Caenorhabditis elegans: one gene and its partner. The protein of the gene in region 1 purifies or fractionates together with the protein of each later gene. This does not show direct contact. Each region holds a gene or a part of one and is shown in the gene's direction. Other genes may lie near its edges.

Region 1 (3,728 bases):
AATGTGCAATTTGGAGTATGAGGAAGTGAAGAAAAGTGCCATTGAGATGCATCAGGATGATATGTGGATTTGGGGAAATCGATTGATAAGGTATGAATTCCTTTTTAAAAAAGTACTGTTTAATTAATATTATTTTCGGCAGAAATTCGACAAAAAATTTTTATTTTTGCAAAAAAAACGCGAATATTTTAAAACGAAATTCCCATTGACAGTAATCTACAAAAAAAAAAATTTTTTTTAAGATCTGAAAACTTCAGAGTATTTGATTTTTCTCAAAAACTGTGTTCAAAAAAATGCCTTGCCTCGAGAATAATAAATTTAAATACTGTTTGTCCCCATTTCATTTTTTTTTAATTTCCAAAATTTAAAGAACTTTGAAGAATCCAATCAATTTTTCAGCATCAACCTAATCAATGGATCCGTGATGACTCTATCCAACGATAATAAATCGTTCTTATGCTACGTCCATATGCCTCATCGTTCTCTTCTCTGTATGGCCGATGAATGTAGATATGATTGGAAGCACGGAGTTCTCGCTCACCACATCCGTGGACGAAGAATAGCGTTGACGATGCGAGAGGCGGCCAAAGATTTCGCTGAGGGAGGGGAATTGTATGAGAAATACGGTGCCGAGCTAATTCGCCTGGGCAACATTCGAGTACCACTTTCGAAAACTTCCGTGTGATGATAATTCCTTTTTTCTGTCTGTTTTGTCATTCTTCTCCTTGTTCAACCAACTTTTTAATTGAAGAAGTTTTAATTTTTATTCTTTGTTCGTTTCTCGTTCAGGTGCAAAGTAATTATGGAATGAATCGGCTGAAAACCGAATTGGGAAAACAACATGTGACGTCACAGAGAGCCATGTGATCGAGATAAGATAAGGAGTGAACGGCTCGGAGAGCATTCATTTAATGATTGATTGGGATGGACACCTGTCAGATAGACTACATTACAGTTTTCCTGTAGGCACACGTGTGACCCTGAACCTAAAAAATTTGAAATTAAATTCCAACAAAGAAGAAAGAAAACCGTATAATTTAGATAGCCATCTCGATTATTTACCTGTAGTTTGGAAGACTCGTCACGAGGTTATTGAAAGAAAGAGAGAGAGTTCGCTGACAATTTGTTTACCTTGGAATCAAAAATTGCTTGGTTTGCAATTTTTCAGAACCCACGTGGCTGTTATTTTCTTGCGTTCATTAGGAATATTTTAATCTGTCAATTAATCCGTTTATAAAAAAACCGATTTTTAGCTTTGAATTTTAGTTAAAATAATGAAAAGAGACTTGCGCCTTTAAAGAGTTACGGTAGTTATCAAAAGATTTTCAGAAAGTTACAGTAACCCAATGAAGACGCACGTCTATTTTTTTTTAATTTACTGGTTTAAAACTAACTAAAATAAAACAAAGCTTTCTACTCGGACTGTGTTTTTACTTATTATAAAATCCCCGAAAAATAATTCCGTCTAATAGAGCGCAATTGCATCAGATGTTACAAAAATTAGCCGACGTATAATATTATAATTAATCTAATTGTGTATTAAACTTTTGCATAAACTTAAAACTGAAATTCTAGAAGAATCAAACACAGATTCAGAAATTCATAATTCTAATTCAAAAATTTCATTTTTTCCACGTTTTGTTCAAAATTATCAATTTTACATATCTCTGTAAATAATCTCTAATCAACATGATTCCCACACAGAAAAAAACCGAGACATCAAATCAAAAAGCACACAAAGTACGTTGATTGATCTTCTCTCCATCTGTTTATCTCGATCACCTCGTGGTTCTCTGCGTCTCTACCGTCTTCCTCTCAGCCTCTCTTTCTCTCACTATCTTATATTGTTGTTTTACAGTTTAAAGTGTATCTAAACCCCGCCTCTTTTGGGGGTCCTTCCTACCTTTTTTCGAATACCTTTGTCAGTTTTCCCCCGTCTCCGGAGACAGGTCCATCCGTACGCAACTCGAAGATTTTATCTCCGATCTAGTCCGGGTCACTTTTCAATTTCTCTGAAACGTCAAATTATCTATTCATCGTATTCTCTCCACCGCTCTCATCTCTCCTTCTATTAACCGATTTGCATAACAAAATTTTAGATTTTATTCCAATTTCATATTTCAGCTAATAATTACAAAATGTGCGACGAAGCCGCCCGTCTTGCCAAAATCGGCCGTCAAGAGTATGATCTCATTAGAATCCACGACGCGCCAAATTGCGATGATCAGACAAAGTTCGAGTGTGACTTGGAATTGGCTCGGTATCAAGTAATTCGCAGTGAAATGGCTTTGGTAAGGTTTTCTTTAATTTCTGTGAATCATTTTGAAGAAAATTTGAAATTAGATTGTCCATTAGCACCCTTAAATACATAGTTGAATTATGAATTGAACATGGTGCATCGACATTTTTTGAAAAAACAAAATTTTCCTTTTTCAATTCACGGACCCGATGCACCATGTTTTACGCGCAAATTATGTTGCGATGGAAACAGTACTTTATTCCACAACCTCAAATTTAAAAAATTGCAATAGTTAAGCCCGTTTTCGGAAAAAAATAGTTTTCAATTTCTCTGAAACGTCAAATTATAAAATTTCTCGACTACTTAGCAAAAACTATTCTGTACGCTGGACAAAATGCAAAATTCAAATGACAAAGCACTAGGATTTTGAGTTTCCAAAAGGCTGTAACTGAACATATTACTCAAAAATTGCAGTTTTACGGGGAATTTTCGAGATTGTAGATCAGTTAACAACTTAAAAAAGATAGTGTAGGCCACAAAAGATTATCCCATTCCACCCTTTAAACCCTTTTACTTTTCCAGAAAAACGTATACAACGAGGAATTTGTGACCCCTGCAAAACTCCGTTATCTCCGTGATGATCTGGAAGCCGCCGAGGAGCATCTGAAAAAGTTGCTTGAAACCTCCCATTGACGCGTTTGATCGAAACGGATTCTGTACATACCTTCCAAATTGTTATTTTTTGTGCTGTGAAGAAATGAAAATAAAATATATTGCTTTTTTCGCAAATCGAATCGGTTTTATTTGAGAAATTTATTTTTAATGGAATGGTGGTTTGGCACTGGAATGTAGAGAGACAATTGACTAGAGTTTAGTTAAGAATTTAAGTAAAACAAATAATTTAAAATCGAGTAATAATGAAATTATCGTCGTCTTCGGATTCTGAATCTGATGGGATCATTGCGGCTGCTGAAGGTGGTGGAAGCATGATGAAAGCGTCATTAATCTGAAAATAGTGGGAATTTGAATAATTTTTTGAAAATTAACAAGTGCCAGGAAATAGGACAACTACTGAAGGCTCCCCAGTTAATGATATTTGGTACAAAATCTATTTAGAAATATCTGCTAGGGTATGCAACCTGCCTCGTAGGAAATCTTAACCTATTAGCACTATTTTTGCTCATTACTTGGTTTGATCGATCGTTTGCTTAAAAATGTCTGCACGTACCTATGACAGAAAATTGTATTGAGAGCCCACTTATACATTTTGCTCAGTCTCAGAGAGAAACTTGGGTACGTGCGGACCCATGACCCACCATTCCAAAGAAAAATTTTGTCTAAAGAATTTCTCGAATTTCTTGCTTCTCTAAATCTATTTCTACTGGAAATTCGCAAGTAGTCAGCTGCTTCTTTTTGTTTTCGATCACCTTGTGATCCTATGAATGGCAGTTCCAATCAACAAAAGTACTTTCTCGGAAAAATTGGAAAC
Region 2 (3,535 bases), on another chromosome or scaffold:
CTTCGCAAAAAAACATAAAACTAATCTATGAATGTCTTCGGACAAATTTTTGGTTTCCCTGCACAGTTCAGAATTTGAAATTACATAAACTTCACAGGGCACCAGTATTTAACAACCACTATGATCGAGATCGTGGCGAGACCTATTCAGGAAATCAGCGTGTACCTTTAAACTGACGTGTGAAATTTTTGCAAAATTATGATATTTAAAAAGGAAATTATCCAAAGCAATCCAATAAATATATTCCTATGGAAATACTGCGAATATTTATCATAGTATTTTTTGGATTCTCTTTCTGCATATCCAAACAAAACATTCTGTGAACAATTTTAGTTTGAATACAAAAATATGATGGATCCATTTTAATCCTATAAAGTGCATATTTCAAGGCTTTTTATGTTTCTGACAAGCCTGAAAGTTTCTACAGAAAATGAAATTTAGAAGAGGAAAGTGCGCTCCAGCGTCATGCACCAGAGATGAGAGACGCGGGACAACGAGACGGATTTTGTTTGTTCGGTTTCTTTTTACGAGACTGATTGTACTTTTTTCTCTTGATTGTCTCACTTTTGTTAAATTATATCAGTTAATGGATATCAATGTGCGTGCGATGTTTTACTTTTGATTTTTGCGAAATTTTATAAATTTCCCTCACAAAATATTGGTTCTTTTCAGAAAAATGCCACTGTCCAAGAGACGAGCGGCAGGTAGAATCAATGGACTGAAAGGCCCACCCGCAAAAAAAAGAAAGGAAATTGAACGACATGAAGCTCTTCTCATGCATCCGTTAGCGTTAGTTTTATTTAGATATTTTTGCGAAAAATTGAACGAATTTACAGGTATACTGCAGAACAGTACGAACAAGTTGCAGAGGAGTCGAAGTTCTACAAAAATTGCTTCGAAACTACTGCCGCCGAGAACGTTGAACTTCTAAAATCCAACGATCAACTCAAAAAAGAGCTGGAATTGTTGAAAAACCAACAAGGAAATCAGTTGAAGGTCGATATGAAGTTCAAATCCCAAATCGAGAGCACCAGGCAATCAAATATGACGTTGCTTCGTGAAAGAGAAATTTGGCAAAATCGGTATTATGATGTTCTCGCTGAGAAGCTTGCGCTAAGTGCACGAGTGAAAAGTATGATGGGCGACATAGTAGAATCCGTAGAAGTGCCTAATGATTCAAATGGTAACACGTGGGAACTGCGAGAAGATTTGGAAATTGATAGAAGTGCTCGTAGAAAAACGGAAGAAGAACCGAAAGCTCAAAAAATGAATTCAACTCGTGGATCTCTGCCGAGAAATCAATGCTCCACACGCTCGAACAACCAAACACCCAATGAGATGCTCCTGAAAATGGCGATAGGATTGGATACGACGTCGGTTAATTAAGGTAATTTTGTATTTTACAAGAACGATTGAAAATTTTTATTGTTTTTTTTTCAGAATTCCTCAATCGACACTCAACACATTCCATCTCAACTTTATGAATCTCAGCACTCAAAAATCTGCTTCGTTTAATTTCTGTTTTGAGCGTTTTTGAAACGTTACTGCATTTATTTTATTAGAATAAACCAATAAATAGACAAAGTATTTTCGAAAAGCTTTTTTTTTTTTTGTAATTGTTGACATTTTCAAAATAATATTATTTAATCCAAATATCTCAACGATTATTAATTTTTTTAAATTCCTGTTAAGACTTTCCATCATAGTTTTTTTTTTCCAGAAGCATGCCACCCCCTAATAAAAGACAAAAACATGCAAGAATCTGTGGATTTATGGGTACACTTGCTAGAAAAAAGAAAGAAATCGAACAACAGGAAGCTCTGATGAAACTGCACAATCTTCCATTGACGTTAGTTTTACACGGAAGCAATTCAGAACAATATAAATTATTTACAGATACACTGAAGACCAGTACAAGATCGTTAAAGAGGAGTCGACGATCTACAAAAACCGATTTGAAACAGCTGCTGCTAAAAATGTCGAGCTTTTAAAAGCCACTGATGAACTCAAAAAAGAGCTGGAATTTTTAAAGAGACAACCAGGAAACCAGTTTAAAGTTGATAAAAAGTTGAAATCCGAAATTGACAGCGCTGAAGAGGAGTCGAAGTTCTACAAAAATTGTTTCGAGACTACTGCTGCTGAAAATGTTGAACTTTTAAAAGTCACCGACCAACTCAAGAAGGAGCTGGAATTCTTGAAAGCACAACAAGGAAATCAGTTTAAAGTTGATATGAAGATCAAATCCGAAATGGAGAGCGCTACACAATCTAATTTGATTCTGCTACGAGAAAAAGAAATGTGGAAAGATCGATTTAATGATGTGCTCTCTGAAAAGCTTGCTCTAAGTGCACGAATTAGAAATGTGATCGGCGACAGATCGGAATCCGTGGAAGTACCCAACGATTCAAATAGAGACATTTGGGAATTGCGAGAAGATTTGGAAATGGAGAGAAGTGCACGTAGAAAGGCTGAAGAAGAGCTGAAAATTCTAAAAATGACTTCAAGTCGTGGATCTATGCATATCAGCCGAGACTCCACCAACCAAACACCCAATGAAATTCTTCTGAGCATGGCGATCAGATTAGATTCGACGTCCAGTAATTAAGGTAACTTTGTAGTTTCACCTTGAGCATTTAAAATTGACATTTTTTCAAGGTTCCCTCCAACTCAGGCCAAGCCGTGTCATCTTCATGAATCTCATCACACAATCAATCATGTGTTTCGTTGCATTTATGTTTTGAACGTTTTTAGAACGTTTCTGTTGTTGAAATAAAATAAAATATTAATTATCGACTCTGAACAGTTGGCAAAAGCGCCCCAATGATCTATGAGGCCACATGATATAGAGTGAAGAGACGCAGCTATTGAAGAGAGTGTGTGTGCACGTTCGATAATTTTCTGTCAGTTTCTCCGTCTTTTGGAATGTGTTTTTTAGTAGCTTAAATTTCAAATTATGGTAAATTTACAAGATCTTGTCACACCTTCTTAAAGGCGCATGGATTTATTCAGATGGGTCTCGACGCGCAAAATGTTTATGGTAGACTTTTTTTGGATTTTTACGGCTGCTTCCGACTTGAAAACAGAAAAATGAAAAGGAAACGATAAAATTCGCTAAAAACTTATTAATTGAATTGAATTGAATTGAATGCATGAAAAATAAACGAAACAGTACTTAGTCAAAGTAAAAAAATTATACAATAAACTTTTTTCGCGCCAAGACCCATGATATGTTACCATAGTCAAACATAGCAAATAAGTTGAGTTCACGTCTATGTTGGTACCATCGGGATCACCGTGGCTTACGCCAAAACTAATGCTTCTTGTGTTTTTTATCACCACACAACTATTCGGTCACAATTATGAATTTGTTTTCTTCAGAAGAATGCCAAGACGGTCTGTTGCCATGCGTAAACGCATTGAAAACCTCCACAAGAATAAAGCTGCTAAAAATGAACAAAAGGACCCAAAAAGAAAGAAAGTTGAATCTCCAGCCACATCATCAACACAACAGGAACAAGCACCCAAATCTTCAGCT

What was found.
Region 2: the proteins of F09F7.6 (region 1) and C49C3.7 fractionate together in Caenorhabditis elegans (co-fractionation; one large-scale study listed by BioGRID). This does not show direct contact.

The regions. Positions count from the first base shown.
Region 1 is NC_003281.10:5,550,526-5,554,253, reverse strand, and holds F09F7.6 (Ferritin), read left to right. Parts: upstream 1-2,118; 5' UTR 2,119-2,138; coding exon 2,139-2,291; intron 2,292-2,821; coding exon 2,822-2,932; 3' UTR 2,933-3,022; downstream 3,023-3,728. Other genes in the region: nmad-1 (DNA N6-methyl adenine demethylase), read left to right, coding at 1-90, 400-685; F09F7.5 (CRIB domain-containing protein), read right to left, coding at 3,141-3,245.
Region 2 is NC_003282.8:17,330,855-17,334,389, forward strand, and holds C49C3.7 (Coiled-coil domain-containing protein 176), read left to right. Parts: upstream 1-1,706; 5' UTR 1,707-1,724; coding exon 1,725-1,849; intron 1,850-1,896; coding exon 1,897-2,605; 3' UTR 2,606-2,606; intron 2,607-2,655; 3' UTR 2,656-2,792; downstream 2,793-3,535. Other genes in the region: C49C3.6 (uncharacterized protein), read left to right, coding at 677-789, 837-1,386; C49C3.15 (DUF4515 domain-containing protein), read left to right, coding at 3,383-3,535.